Notamacropus eugenii: one gene and its partner. The protein of the gene in region 2 purifies or fractionates together with the protein of the main gene of each other region. This does not show direct contact. Links are inferred from orthologs where the notes say so. Each region holds a gene or a part of one and is shown on either strand. Other genes may lie near its edges.

Region 1 (8,108 bases), on a different chromosome or scaffold from region 2:
CAATTCCTGTGATATTTCTGTGAGATGGCAGCTGGATATAAGGCCGGATTTTGTCTTGGTAGTGTTTAATAGGGAACACCTGGAGGAAAAAAAATGGGCAATAAGCTTCCTGTAGGGGAAATAAGGGCTGAAACTGGAATCAAAGGACCTGAGTTCAAATCCCAGGTCTGTAATTTACTGGCTATGTGAGCAAGTGTAGTTAACTTCACCTCTCTGTCCCTCAGCCACAGATTTAAAAAAATAAGGGGGGGGGGGCTGGACTAGGTAATGTTACACACACCCACACACCACATATACCCACACACACCCCCTCAAGAGGCAATATGGTAAGAGTTGAAAATATCCTTGGAACTGGAATTGAATGATTTGAATGACCTGGGTTAGATTTCTAGTTCTGCAGATTATGTAACCTTTAGGCAAATCACCTAATTTCTCTCAATTGCAATGACTTCACCTGTAAAATGAGGAGGTTGGGCCAGATGACCTCTAAATCCTGTCCACCTTTAAATTCTATGATAAAAAGTAGAGAGGCTGCTTCTCAGCATTCAAGCTGAACTTGAATGTTTAACTTCCACATGGATGATATCCAGAGTTGTGCCTATCTATTCCTGAAGCTGTGTTAAACTCTTATTCCTTGGGTCACATCCTTCCTCCCACTTTCACACTGCCTCTGCCAATACTTTAAACCAGTAATACCTACTAAGTATCCAGAGAATTGGTTAAGCTCCAAGTGCAGCCATCCACCAGTCCTACCTACTTGAGAGGACTCCTCTTAGTGTGCCCCATTTCCCCAAACAATCAGATCCAGCTAGGCAAGCATATCCAGTATTCAATCCCTCTCTATCCCCCCATAGTGTTCTGAACACAGTGGATGCTTTCAGTGTTCACCGACGACTGATTAGAGACTGGGTCCACTCCTTGTCTCTTTTGCCCAGCTCAGCATCAGGAAATCCTGGCTTTATTCCATAACGGCTTAAAAACTGTTGCTGTCAATTACTTAGCAATCTAGAGAGGAAGGGTGCTCATACAAAGTACAAAGAATATGGGGACTCTGCAAGATCCAGGCAGTAAGGAAAGGTAGGTAAGGAAAAACAGCAGAACGTGATTTGGAGGGAAGGAGAAAGATGATTGGGAGAGAGACGGAGAGGCAGAAACAAAGACAAAGTGATACAAAGAGAGACGGAGACAAAGGAAGAGACAAAGACAGATGGAGAAAAAATATAAATCAGTCTATGACACAGCTCTGGGCACTTTAAGCAAGCTGAAGGGTGACTCAGGTATAACCATCATTCATCTGTTTCTCAAAAGCTCAGAGTAAATGCTTTCAAAGGAGGAGTTTTAAATCTACTGATTTTTTTTCCCTTCCCAGGGAATGGGTAACTTCTCTAAGAAACCAATTGTGCTCTTTTAAAGGCCTTTTGTTTTTGCCAGGGTTACTCATATCCTAGACTCAACTGGAAACGGTGACACATGGACCGTCACCATCTGGATCCAGCTATTATCTGTTGGGAGGAACTGGATAGGATTACACAATCCTCAGGTCCCACCCCATCTCTTGTGCCAGTCTGATAGATGGCTAGCAAGGAAAACCCTTCTGCAACTCCCCAACCTCCTCCTCCTCACCCCTAGCCCCCCATTACCACTATCCATAGACATTTCTACCAAAGTGCCCTTTTAGACTGGTCACTTAAGATTTTTTTTCCTTTTTCATTCCCTAAATGCAGCTTTTGAAAACATTTAAAATGCCCCTGAAGTCAGACAGCAGGTGGCGGTAGCCAAACTCAATGACAAAAACTCCATTCAGATGGAGTCAGGTGAGCAGGAGAAAAAATCAAGCTGACCCAACTGCTGAACCCTCAGTTCAGGTGAAGAGGAAGCAGGCAAAGGGGCGAGGAGACTGTGCATTTGTGGGATTCTCTGGGTGGCTTTGGATTTGTTGGAATTGTCTAGAGGATGGGTGCGCTACAGAAGGAAACTGCGGATCCTGTTTCTGGGAATTTATATTCTCGATGTTAAAATGAAAATCCATGTCACCAATTAAAAGGAAGTGAATGAGTGTTCCAGCGGGGCCGGGCTCCTCACTTTTCTATCAGGGAGTGTCAATTCTAAGGATACTGGTTGGAATCTCTCTGTTTCAGGCCCTTGGTGGGGAGTCACAGAATCCCAGGATCGGGATCTTAGAGGTCTTGGGACCCACCCTCTCTCCCCCGGAGGCTTATTACTGGGTGCCCGTTGAAAAGTCCTAGCCCTTCCAAAACGCCAGCAGGCTCCGAGCTGGCAGCCGTGCCAGCCTCCAAGGAGGTACCTCCACCCAATGGGGCTGATAGTGAAGGGTGAGGGGCTGGATGAATTACTTTCCTGGGATGAAGAAGGTAAAGACTGCTCAAAGAGGACAGCTGTTAAATGGAAGAAAAGTGGTTGGGAAATGATGCCTCCCCCACTCCAAGTTCGCTCGGGTCACCTGAGATCCCCACGGAAAGCTTTGCCTCCTCCCCGTGGAAGCCCCCCGCCTGCTCTCCCCAGTTCGTTCCCTGAGGAGCCTTGACCGTGACTGCGCCCTCCACGAGCCTGTGACTCGGGAAGAGGGCTGAATGAATCAATGGCTAAGGTCCCTTCCGACCGAAGATCCCGCCAGACCTTTGTCCACCCTCCCCTCTCCCACGCGGCGTCCCCCGGCCTCCGGGCGGGGGTGGTCGCCGGGGGGCGGCCGTACCTTGCAGCGTAACTCCTGCCCGGTGTGGATGCTCAGCGCCCGGGACACATGCTCCCGCTCGGCCATGGGCAGCAGAAGGTAGCCGGCGATCCGGCTGGGCCCCGGGGCGCTGCCGCCGGGCGCCGAGGGCGAGGGAGCGGGCGGGGGCGTGCAGGGGGAGCTGGGGGGGCTGAGGTAGTCCGGAGGGTTCGGGCACTCGGACAGCCGCAAGCACTTGGCCGCCACCGCGGCTGCCTCGTCGCCGTCCAGGAGGCGCTTGGAAGGGGAGCCCCGGGCAGCGGGGAGCAGCAGGCCCGGGCTTCGGGGCTGGACGTTGCGGCTCATGGCAGGGCGCAGGGAACACATCCAGGTCCCGGAGCCCGTGGAGCGGGGCGGTTAAAGCCCGGATTCCGGGAAGGGCTTGGGAGCGGGGCCCCAAGGTCCGGAGATCCGACGGCTGCAGCGGAGCCCGGGGCGTCTCTCGAGGTCTTCGGGCTTTCACCCCCACGGGGGGCAAAGCGGGCCGGAACCGCTCTAGGGAGCCCACGACGCGGCCGGGGCCGGGGCTGGCCAGCCCGGGGGCCAGCTCTGTCTTCGCCCGCACCCCGAGGGGGCGGCTCGGGCCAGGGGTGTCCCGGGAGTCCCGGCTGGCGGTGGGCACCGCGGGCGGGCTCGGATGGCTTCTTGCCGCCGCCGCTGCAGAGACGATCCGGGCAGAGGGAGGTCTGCGCGGAGCGCGCCCCCCGCTCCGGCTCCGGACTAGGAGAGAAGCTTCGGCAGCCGCAGGCACGGCCGACGGAGGAACGCGGAGACGCGAAGCCCGAGTCCCCGGGCAAAGGCACCTTGGCAACTTTTGGCGGCGCCGGTCCCCCTCCGCGCTCCGGAGCCTCCGCGCTGGCTGAGCGAGAGTGAGTGAGTGTGAGCGGGCGTGAGCGGCGCGCCGATCCCAGGCTGGGCCCTCCTCCTCCTCCTCCCCCTCCTCCGCCGGCGGTGACTCACGCTGTATACACACAGTCCGATTATATGTAAACAGTTGGGAAGCCGGGTTGTGCAATGAGGTGCTACGGCTCCAGCTCCTCGGCCCACCAGCCGGCCCGCTAGGGAGCAGCGCGGGGAGGGAGGGCCGGCCCGGGGGAGCAGGAGGAGGGGTCCGGGGGGAAGGGCAGCGTCGAGGCAGACGGGCGCAGGGGACGAGGCTGGGGCCAGAGAGCCGTGCCCCACGCACGCACCGAGCAGTGCCGAGAAAGAAAGTGGAGCGGAGAGAAGGAAGCAGCAGGAGAGGAAGCTCCCGCGCGCTCCCTCTCGCTCTCCCGGCCTCTCTGAGCCAAACCCGCGGGCCGGGAAAGAGAAGGATTAAAAGTTGCCGTGACGTTAGAGTCCAGGAGCACCGAAGTCGGGCTGGGCTTGGGAGCGGGGAGGAGGAGGGACTTGGGGGCGGAGCTTAGACGAGGCCGGCGCTCATTGGCTCCAGCTCCCCCCATTCACTCCGCGGCGATTCACCGTCTCCGCTCCAGGAGTACAATGGGCTGCGGAGGAGGAGGAGGAGAAAGGTGGGGGGAGGGCAGCGCGTGAGCGGCGTTCTAGGGGTCCTGAGGGAGAGGGAAAGAAAGGGAGCGCGTGCCAGGGAGCGCGCTCCCGGCCTTTGCGGGCCTCAGCCCGATGACTGCGGCGCGGAGGGGGGCCTCGCCCTTGCCCCGGACTCGGCTGCGCCACGCAGCCGCCCCCGACGGGCCCCGGAGAGCCGAGGACAGAGCCCCCAAACCGGCCTGCGCGCAGCTCGAGCCGCCGGGGGAAGGAGGGAGCGAGAGCGCTGGCGAACGACTGAATTCCTGCAGCCTCCCCCGCGCGGCCGTTCCGGGGAAGTCCTGTGCAGACGAGAGTGGATGTGGATGCGATTCCCCCGCTCCTCCTCCCTCCGGGGTGTGCTCGGCTCCACAAATAGCGCCTTCCGTTGGGGGACGTGGAAGCAGACCGAGCGCCTCTGCCATCCTCCCCGCCTCCTCCTCCGGGCTCCCCCACGCCCCGCAGCCGGGGTGGCACGGAAATAGCTCCTGGAGCGCTCCTTCCCGGGGACTCGGGAGCTTCCTGGAGGAGGGCGGCGTGCAAACAAAGAAGCCCGAGCCCCGGCCAGCGGAAGGGCCCCACGTGGCAGCGCTTGGTTCTCGTCTCTTCCCTCTCCCCTTCGCCCCAGGGTCCGCGGGCACCGGGCCAGCCGGGCGCTCCCTCCGCTGTGCCCAGGATGCGCCCGCAGCGCTCTTTTCCTGGTCCGTCCCTTACCACCACGAGCGGGATCGTGCGATTCCGAGCTGGAAGCCTTGGGGATCATCTAGTACAGCCCCCCCCTTATTTTACAAATGAGGAAACAGGCCCAGGAAAATGAAAAGCTTGCACCAGCTGGCTGAGCCCGGATTCCAAACCTAGGGCATGATCACAAGTAACCTCACATTTTCCTTTTCCTTTTCGCCCCTTCCATATAAAGCCGTCTTTAAACATACCTAGCGAAACGGCAGTTTCCCTTTAGAAAACCATCCTAGAACGTTGAGACAGTGACCTCAGTTCAGGATAATAGTCATATTTTCCTTGCACTTGTCCCTCCAAGCCACCACCCCACAAAGATAAAGCAACTGTAGCATTAACATTCCTTCCCTGGCTTCAGATCTCGTTATCAAGGTCACCTTAGGTGACAAAGGACCGGCATAAGCTGTCTAGAGAGGCTGAGGGACTTTCCACTTAAGGTATTACTCACCGTATATCACCCTCCCTGCCCAAAGATAAAGAGGGAAATCAATCGATAAGCATTTACTCGTCACCGACTGTGTACCAACCGCGGAGCTAAATTTTAGAAATTCAAAGGAAAAAGACGATTTCGGCCCCTGCGCTAGCTAACCTTGCTCACAAGGAAACAGGCTTTAGGGAATGGGGTTAGCCCGGATAAATAACCCGATAAGCCTTTTGAAGGCCTTTGAGTTGGGCCTTCCAAGAAGTTAGTGGTGAGGTGGGAGAGCATTCCAACTTGGGGGACAGCCTGCTGAAAAGCAGTGAAGCAAGAGGTGGAATGTTGGCTTCAGGGAACAACGAGCAAGCCAGGGAAAGCCGAGATGCTGAAAAATGCCATTCGATTGCGTATTTTTAAAAAATTTCTGGAGAAGTCATGACAAGCCTTCCTTGGTCAAATGAGCCCCACACTCAGCATTTTTAAACCATTTGGGAATAGAAGGTGAAGCCTAACCCTCCTCAAGTTACAGATTAGGCAACCGAGGACCAGAACACTGAAGTGACTGCCTCAGGTAATTTGTTAGTGGACCTGGGACCAGAAACCAGATAGTATATGCAAGGACTTGGTAAAGTGTGAGGCAATATAGAGATGCAAGTATTATAATTGTTACTATTTCAGCTTCATTAATTTAACTTCATTAAAATTAACCTCATTGAAGTTGGTAGCAAAAGAAGAATACTGACCTTGGACATGTTACTTAGCCTCCCCAGGCCTCAGTTTCCTCATCTAGTCAGATATTAAACACCTACTACTTAGCCTCTGGTAAGTGCTGAGGGTAGAAAAGGAGACAAAAGTCCCTCAAGGAACTTAGAGTTTAATGGAGACTATACACACACACACATACACACATATTCATGTATACATGTAATATAAAGAAATAAGAGATAGAAGGCACCAGATTTTAGAAGGGTTGAGGAAGTCTTCTTGTAGAAGGTAAGGTTTTAGTTGGGCCTTATAAGAGAAGCCAAGGAGGTCCCCAGAAAGAATGATGAAGGAGAATGTTCCAGGCTTGGGGTACAGCCAGAAAAAATGCCCAAAATCAAGAGATGAAGAAAAGAGATTCAGTTATTAGTTGAATAGCCCATAGGCCAGTGTCATTGGATCTAAGTTCATGTACTGAAAAGTAAGGTGTAAGAAAACTGGAAATGTAGGCAGGGGCTGGGTTATGCAGGATTTTGAATGCAAATAGAGCATTTTGTATTTGATCCTGGAGGCAATAGGAAGCCAGTGGAGTTTATTGAGAAGGGGTGACATGGTTGAACCTGTGCTTTAGGAAGATCACTTTAGTGACCGAATGGAGGAGTGAGGAGAGACTTGAGTCATGCTCTTTAGCAGCCTCTTCCAGTAATTGAGGAATGAGGTGATAAGGGTCTGTAGTAGAGTGGGGCATGTTGAAGAGATGTTGCAAAGGGCTTGACAGTTGCTTGGATGTAGGAGCTGGGGGAAATGTGAGAGAGACAAAGAGAAGTTCAGGATGACTCCTCAGTCATGAGCCTGAGAAACTGGAAGAATGTTATTACCCTCTACAGTAACAGGGAAAGTAGGAGGTTGAGGGAGAATTTAGGGGGAAAGAATGAGTTCAGTTTAGACATTTGAATTTAATATGTCTACTGGATATGCAATTAAGGATTTCTAAAAGATGGTTAGAAATGCGAGGTTGGGGGCAGGAAAGGTGGATTTGAGAGTCATCAGCATAGAGAATAGTTATTAAATCCATGGGAGCTAATGAGATAACAAGTGAATATAGACAGAGAAGAGAAAGGGACCCTGAGGGACACCTAGAGTTAGAGAGGGCATGATCTGACTGTGGATCCAGCAAAGGAATAGAGGAGCAGTTAGGTAAGAGAACCTGAAGAGAGTGGTAACCCCCCAAAAAATACAGAAAAAAATATCAAGAAAGACAATGAACAACAATGTCAAAAGTTACCAAAAGGGCAAGGAGAATGAGGATGGAGAAAAGATCACTGGATTTTACAACTAAGAGATCATTGATAACTTTGGAGAGAGCAGTTTCCATGGAATGATAACATCAGAAGCCACTTCCTAAGGTGAGAGGAGAGAAATTGGAGACACCTATGATAGACAGCCTTTTTGAGGAATCTGGCAACAAAGGGCAGCAGAAATAAGGGATGATAGCTCAAATGGAAGGACAAGTGAGGGTTTTTTTAAGATGGGAAGACTTAGGCATGTTTGTAGGCAATAGCGAAGGAGCTAGTAGACTGGGAAAAGTTGAAGAAGGGATAGAGTGGGGACCAGAGAGGGCAAACTGTTGGAAGAGGTTGGCTGGAATGGGATCATTTGAACAAGCAGAGGGTATTAGTGGAGCACCTTGGCTGTTCCGCTATTTCTTGCCACACGACCAATTTTCTTTTGGTTATACAATTCTTTCATGATCTCTTTTACTCCCACTCCTCTTCAAAGGATGCAGAATATTTTAAGGATGATGCAGCTAGGTCATGTAGTGAATGGAGTTCTAGGCTTAGAGCCAGAAAGACGGGAGACGCTTACAAGCTGTGTGGCCCTGGGCAAGTCTGTGCCTACCTTCCTGGGGTGTCATCAGGATCCACTGAGATATTTTGTAAAGTGTTTTGCAAACTTTAAAACACTATATAAATGCCGTTATTATCATTACTCTTATGC
Region 2 (7,734 bases):
GGTCCTCGAGAAGCTGAGGGGGCTGCAAGGCACAGCCCCGGGGGGCCGAGGGCACAGCACGGTCACCACCTCTGAGCTCCCCAGGGCCCCTCGGCAATCCCGAACCAACCCACCACCTCGGTCCATTCTAATTAATCACTCCTCCCGGATTCACTCCCCACCCCCACCTCTCTAGCCCAGGTAACCTGGCCATCGCAGCCCCACCTCCTCTCCAGCATGTTCCCATCCTTCTCTCTGTCCATCCCTTTTCTCTACCGGCTCTCCTCTTCTACGGAGTCTAGACCTCCAGGCTGCCCCTCGCCCCAACCAACCAAGTCAATCAATCAATCAATCAAACGCATTTATGGAGCTTCTACTAGGTGCCGGGCACCGGGCTAGGCTCAGGGAGCTAAAGACAAGAAAGCAGCCCCTACCTCGAGAGCCTTCCGGTGAAACAACCAGCACTGGCCCTAAACACGGGGTCTTAGGTAGCCCCCCCTTCCACTCCCAGGGCAGCCCCCTCCCCCACCCCGCCCCCGGCAGGTCCTCCCCCGCCCCCTTCTAGGAGGACTCCCCCCTCCCCCGAGAAGACCCCCCTCAGGGCCCCCTTCAGGCTGAGTCCCCCTCGCTGCAGACCCCACTTCGATTCCCCCCCCCACCGCTCCGCTCACCTTCCCCCGGCGCTCAGCGCTCCTCGCCCATAGTCCGCGTCCCGGAGCCGGGGGCTGCTCGGCGCTCCGTCCCGGGGGGGCGGGAGGCCGGGGGGCCGGGGGCGGGAGAGCCGCTCTACCGCCGCCGCCCAGCGCAGCCGCCCGAGCCGCCGCCGCAGCCGCCGCCGCCGCCGCCCGAGCCGCCGCCTCCCTCCATGGCTGCGGCGCCGCCACCTGACAACGGAAATGACGCACCGCCACCCCCACGACCCAGCCCCTCCTCCCCCCCTCCCCCCCGGCTCGGAGCTCCGCCTTTCTCTTCCAGGGAAGGGAGTGGGGACGGCCGACGGCCGGCTGGCTCCCTATCCGGACCCCGGTCTAAAGCCCCTCGCGCCGCTGATTGGCCTTTGGAGAGCGGCCATATTGGTGCAGGGCGGAAGTTGTTCGACTTCAGATCTGAGGGGCCGGACCCTGACGGAGACTGGCTCTTGGTGGGGGCGGGGCCGAAAGGAGAGGGGTGATTGGTGGCTGGTTAAGGAAGGGGGCGGGCCCAGCCGCTCTAGCTCCTTCGGGGGTGAGGCCACGGAGACGGTGACGGCTTAGCCCCGCCCTTCACACCACCCCCGCCGGAATCCTACAGAGCCCTGAATCACCCAGTCGCACCCACCTCCCGCCCCCTTCGGAAATCCGCTCTGACGGTTTGACAGTTACTCAGGGCTGCCGGGCTAGAGGGGGTCGACCACGGGGAATACCGTACTTTTCAGAAAAGCGACGCGACACCCAGAGCCCCAGTTATCCTCTGGAAATGAGTTTTCTGAAGCCATGTGTTTATAGTCCCCATAATAATAATAACTGATATTTATATATATTCACTGTGTGCCAAGCACTGTGCCAAGCGCTTTACAGCTGTTATCTCACTGTAAACAACCCTGGGAGGTAGGGGCTGTTATTATTATCCCCATGTTACAGATGAGGAAACTGAGTCAAGCAAAGGGTAAGTGACTTGCTCAGGTTGCACAACTAACATGTCTAAGAGGCCAGATTTGACTCCAGGCCTAGGGCTCTAAGATTCCTGGACAGGACAGCCCCACACTTCCAGACACAAAGCCCTGGCCCGCAGGTAGATTGTGCAGGTATTTAGAGGGTGATCTCCTTGGGAGCAGGACGGTTTGCTTTTTTTGTTTTCCCTAGCGCTTAGCAGTACAGGCACACAGCAGGAGCTTAATAAATGCTTGAAGACTTGTTGACATGATTAAGCAGCCCAGCTTTCGTGGTTCAAGCCATCAGAATGTCACACTGCCTCACAGCCCTCTTGTGACACCCCTAATCATAATGGGGTCACCATTCCCACCTGGCCTCTCTTCCCCTATTAGAGTAGAAGCTCCTTGAGGGCCTAGACTATCTTCCTTTTTCAGTTTGTTTGCCTGGAACATAGTAATTAATGCTCATTCATCCATTCATTCCTACTTCTGGCCCACTGGGCCACATCCTTCCATCCCATTTATTCCCTTGGCTACCAAGTGTACTACAGTGGGAAAGCTGGAGGATGTAGGATCAGAGGCCCTGAGTTCAGATTTCGGCTCTGCTGCTCACCAGTTGTGAGCTCTGGAGTCCCTTCTCTGGGTCTATTCGTCTTCGGTAAAATGAGAAACCTCTCTTAAAGGTAGATGACCTCTATGATCCCTTAGATAATCTGTCATCTGTAAATCTGTAATCCTATGGTCTCTAAAGCCTCTTCCAACTCTAAAAAAATATGTTATTATATATAATATATACATACATACATACACATATATAATACACACATATGTATGTACACATATGCAGTATATTTGTAAGTGTTGACTCTACATTTTTGCTGCATATATTTGTGTATGCCTTTGTTTACTCTCCCATTAGAATAGAAAGCTTGTTTGGTTATTGTTTCATTCTTTGTACCTGTATCTCCAGTGCCTAGCCCAGTGCCTGGTTAATAGAACAGTTGCCTAATAAATCCTCATTCGTAGATTGATTTATCCTTCCCCATATTTCCTCTACAGCAGGGGTTATTAACTTTTTGGTGTCATGGACCCATTAGACATCATTAGATGCATTAGTCCATTAGACTGAGCTCCTTGAAGGCAGGAGTTCTCTTTTGCCTTTCTTTGTACCCTCAGTACAGGGCCTAGCACATGGTAGGCACCTCCTAATAAATGCTCGTTGACATGATCTGACCCCATCTGGCAGAATATTTTTAAATGCATGAAATAAAATACACAGGGTGACAAAGCAAGCCAATTACACTGAAAGTTATCAAAATATTAAAAAAAAAAAAAAAGAAGCCAAGTTTATGGACCCTAGGTTAAGAACCCCTGCTCTACAGAATCGCAGACTAAGCTGAAGCTGACAGGTTCTACTAAGAAGCCTCAGGTCTCTAGGGACAAGACCAGACAGTCTTCTTCCCTCCCTCTCCCCCAGCTCTGACAAATTTCACCTGTTTCTACTGACTCCATAGGCAGGATCCTCTCAGTCACCTGTTCCCATGTCTCATGGCTCTGAGCTGTCTAACCTCAGTCCCTCCTGCTGCAGTTTCGGCAGCCTATTTCCCTTCTTGTGTCAGCAACCACACCCGTCATGAATCAGCTTCTTGCAGCAGCAGCAGATGGGGCCTTTAAAGAGATTGCATCATGCTAGGTGACTCATGGCCCTCTCTGGGCTTTGTTGTACCTCCCAGAGCTAAGGATCTGCCAAACAGAGAAGCTGAGCCGCCTCGCCTGGCCACAACCAATCTGCCTTCCCCACCTTATCCCTCCTCCAGGGAAAGCCCAGAGGGCTGTCGCCTCCAGGGGAGAAGTGGGAAGCTAAGAGTGCTGGCATATGGATTATGTGTGTGTCTCCCTTTCAATCTTTCTGTAGGGGTATTTCCATGTCTCTCCCTGAGTGTGTTAGGTTTTCACTGTCTCCTTGTCTGATGTTTGTGTAGCCACGTGGATCAAATCTGTCCCTCTGTATGCCAGTTTCTGGATGCCTGTGGGCATGGGTATTTGTGTGGCTGAGCAACCTCTGTGGTTATAAATCTTTTGTGGGATCCAGTCTCCCACTCAGCTGATGGACAACGCTAAGTCCTGCTGCTGGACAATTCATGGGGTTTGGAACTTAGAGGTCATCTAATCCATTTTACAAATGGGAAGATTAAGCCCAAGAGAGGGGAAAGGAAGGGGCCTGCCTGAGGCCAGAGTGGCAGAGCTAGGTCTAGAGCCTAGGTCCTCTAAGCAACTTGGTCAGGTCTGGGTTGCATGGTCTCTAAGGCCCCTTCCGAGATTCTGTAACCCTAAACACAGCGCTCTCTCCACTGCACCATCCTGCCTCCTCAATAGTCTCACCCCTTATCTTTTCTTTTGTTGCTATTCATCCCAATCCTCACCAGCAGCTAGGGGGTAAGAAGTTAGCGTAGGGTGTCATGAAGACCCAAAGGAAAGCAGCTCTGGCTCCTGGGAGAATGTCCTAAAGACAAGATTTCCTTCTCTTTCCTGAAGTAGGCATGAGTCCATGTGTGTATTTGTGTATGTGTGTGATTTGATCCTCTTCCCTACTACATTTTCAAGGGACTGGTCCCCTCATTCCTCCCAGTCCCCATTCACAGTACTGCTATAATATGACATCAACCTGGCTAAGAAATCCCATTTCTTAGCAGGAGGATTCAGGGCAGTGTTCTCCTGTTCTTGCTTTTTGGCCATGTAAAGGTGTTCACACTTACAAGCCTCAGATGTTGTAACCAAATACATAGCTTTGGGGTTAACGTTTCAAAGAAGGAAAGGGTTTGTGGAGATTATAGGTTTGTCCTTCAGCAAACCTGCTAGATAAAATCTTTCACAGAATCTCAGAGCTAGAAGGGACCTCAGAAACCATTTAGTTCAGGGGTTTTTAATCTGGGGTCAATAGACTCACTAACTTCATGGGGTCTATGAATTTGGACAGGGCAGCTAAAGGTACAGTGGATAGAGTGCTGGGCCTGGCTGGAGTCAGGATGACTCATCTTCCTAAGTCCAAACCTGGCCTCAGACACTAGCTCTAAGTCCCTGGGCAAGTCACTTAACGCTATTTGCCTTAGTTTCCTCATCTATAAAATGAGCTGGAGAAGGAAATGGCCAACCACTCCAGTATCTTTGCCAAGAAAATCCCAAATTAGGGTCATAGTCAGATAAAACTGGACAACAACAACTAGACTGGGAAATTACATCCTAATTTTATTAACCTTTGGTTTCCTCCTGTGCATTTAAAACCATTCTCCTGAGAAGGGACCCAGAGGCACAATCTAAAGTTAAGAAGTCCTGGTCTAGTCCAACCTGCACCTAGGCAGGAATCCCTGCTACATTGTACTCTAATAAGTGGCCATCAATCCTGTGCTTCAAGACCTCAGTGATGGGAAACTCACTCTCTCTGAAGGCAGCCCCATTCCCCTTTGAGCAAGCTGGAATTGTCACGCAAGCTGAGTATTAATTTGCTTCTCTGCTTCTAGATCTGCCCTCCTGATTTAGAATACCAAGGGATTTGGCTGAGTGGCTAGGAGAGGTTGAATAAGGGATGCCTAGATGGCCTTGCCTTGAGATGCTACTTTCCCTTTTCAGGGGATGGGACAGGATGTGGCTGGGATACTGGAAAGTCCCTGGAATGTCTCCTAAAACAGTATGAGTTTGGATTTTCCAAGGAACTCATTATCTTCTTTCCTTTGACATTGGCACTCTCCTCTCCCCTCCCCTCTACACTCTGCCTCCCATCCCCCTTCCACAGCTGATTAAAAATATGGGACTTTAAGGGGGCAGAGAAAGAGAAAGAGGACACATGACTACAAGCTATGAGAAAAACCCAACTCAACCCAAAGGTGCCAGCCGGGGAGCTGTCAGCAGGACATAGATGTGGGGAGATTGGTGTGTGGCAACACACACACACACACACACACACACACACACACACTCTACACTCCATCTTCTGCTCTGGGGATGCAGACAGCACTGCCATAACAAAATGACGCCTGTCACAACAGCTTGAGATGGCTGGCTGACGATGCACAGGCTCCCAAAGCAGCTGGTGACTGTCACAGAAGAGAAGGGGAGGAGGGAACAGGCATGCTCACTCACCTCCTGTCCCTTCAGGCTCTCAACTCTACCCTTCCTCTGACACCAGCCTAGGTGGGGGCTTCCCCAGCACGGGGTGGGTTGATGGGCTGGGGGCAAGGGATATATGGCAATGCCCTATGGTGGGAGTCATTTCTCTGCCATGGCTCCTAGGGGGAGGCTGCTATAGGACCAGATGAGTTTCCAACACAGGTTTGTTTATCTGGCCTCCTCTCTTCATCCTTGTCATTAATGTGATGGAAGTAGACCTCTGGCTTGGGAATCAGTAGATATAGGCCTGGAGTCAGCGGATCTGAACTCAAACCCTACCTGCCACCACCAGCATGATTTTAGGTGAGTCACTTACCCTTGTTGGTCAGTTTGCTCATCTGTAAAATAAGGGAGTTAGACTAGGTACTGCTGAGGTTCACTCTGGCTCTGGATCCTATAAGTCTGTCATGCAGCCCCAGCTCTGATCTTGGACATGACACTTCCCTGGACTTTAGTTTCCTATACTTGGGCTAGTTGTTCTCTTGAGGCCTCTTCCTGTCTTTCAGAATCGATTGGTCACTTGCTCATTCCATTAGGAAGAAAAAAAAAAGGCAGAGGTGGATGATTTCAGTCCTGTACCCAGGTCAAACTGAGATCTGAACCCATAGCTAACTACCACACCTTCATTCTTCTTCCCTGAGGGGAAACAATGATCTCTAAATTTTAGTTCAACTAGGGTAAGATGAGCAATAGGCAGGTTGGGTGGTTTCCATTCACCAGGTGCTTGTAACCAGTGGTTACATCTATTTCTCTGATGAAGTAGAAGGGAGAGAGCAGGCCTCTCTCTTTGTCCCTCAAGCTGAGGGCGTAGTAAAACAGTTGGGACATAATCAGGGGATTGCAGTTCCATCTGGATATGCCAAGGCAAAATCGGGACTAAGCTCTCCTTACTCTCTTTAACTCTCTTCCCTTTCCATTACTTTCCTCTACAGAAAAGGAAACAGAATGAAACTCCAGACCCTTCATTTTGTGTCCAGCAGCCTATTCCTCAATGCTAAAAAGCTTGGCATATAGTATTAAATGAGATAATACACACAAACCTCATGACACTATATTAAACGCTGATGACTATTGTTATTAAACTGTTGTAACAGAAATTTGGTGGTGGTGGGGTAGGCACACTCATTTGTAGCCTATATGGGCTGGTCACCCTTTAGCCTGCTACTTAACTCAATTCTATATTAATTTCTCACCAACCTGTCTTCTAGGTTAATCCAGTGATTTATACACTGTTAATAATAATCTCACATTTCCATACTCATTTAAGATATGCAAATTGCTTTCCCCACAACAGAAGTGCAAAGTCGGTAATGCAGATATTAACCCTGTGTGAGGAGAGGGGAGTCCACATCATCGCTGGGAATCTTAGATATGGAAAGTACTTCCACAGAGGCAATTTCAGGGTAACTGACAAGTCTTAGAGAATTGGTTAAACCACTGACAGGTTGAGTGATCTGCCCATGGTGGCAGTTAGTGTGCATCAGAAATAGGACTTGAGCTTAGGTCTTAAATCCAAGGAGGGCCATCCCTCCACTAGTCCATGTTGTTTCTCACCTGAGCTTTACACGGAAAGAAACAAACGCTGTCCTGGATGGCCATGCTCTTTTCCCTACAGCCATCCTTGTGTCCAAGGTGAGTTTCGCTATTCTCCCTGACTACTTTTCAAATTTGGGCCATCTCCAGTTGTCTTGCTCTATATCTGGCCACTGGGCCCCAATGGCTCTGGAGGAGAAGGTGAGGCTGGTGACGCTGCACAGCCCTCTCTCACTGTAACCCAATTCACTTGTGAATCATGGCATCATCTTTCTGATATCACTGGTCCTTTTTGAGAATGAAGGACAAACCACACACATGGCTTTCCAAATCCCGAGTCCCTCATGCCCCTGGCACCTGGCCCCAATTAGGGGTCCTGAGCTCCTCATGCCAGGGTCTGCTTTCACTGGTGCCACTACAGATTCAGA

Evidence for each region. Proteins that work in one complex are often made in the same cells at the same time.
Region 1: the proteins of STK40 (region 2) and TRIB1 purify together in Homo sapiens (affinity purification with mass spectrometry; 3 studies listed by BioGRID and IntAct, counting the BioPlex papers as one, with this or other methods). This does not show direct contact. The link is inferred for Notamacropus eugenii from reciprocal best matches to the Homo sapiens genes STK40 and TRIB1.

Annotation. Positions count from the first base shown.
Region 1 is NC_092875.1:118,540,134-118,548,241, forward strand, and holds the start of TRIB1 (tribbles homolog 1), read right to left. Parts: upstream 3,206-8,108; 5' UTR 3,059-3,205; coding exon 2,714-3,058; intron 80-2,713; coding exon 1-79. UniProt on the Homo sapiens protein: Adapter protein involved in protein degradation by interacting with COP1 ubiquitin ligase. The COP1-binding motif is masked by autoinhibitory interactions with the protein kinase domain.
Region 2 is NC_092876.1:83,285,086-83,292,819, reverse strand, and holds the start of STK40 (serine/threonine-protein kinase 40), read right to left. Parts: upstream 3,128-7,734; 5' UTR 3,122-3,127; coding exon 3,103-3,121; intron 807-3,102; exon of another isoform or gene 651-806; intron 1-650. UniProt on the Homo sapiens protein: May be a negative regulator of NF-kappa-B and p53-mediated gene transcription.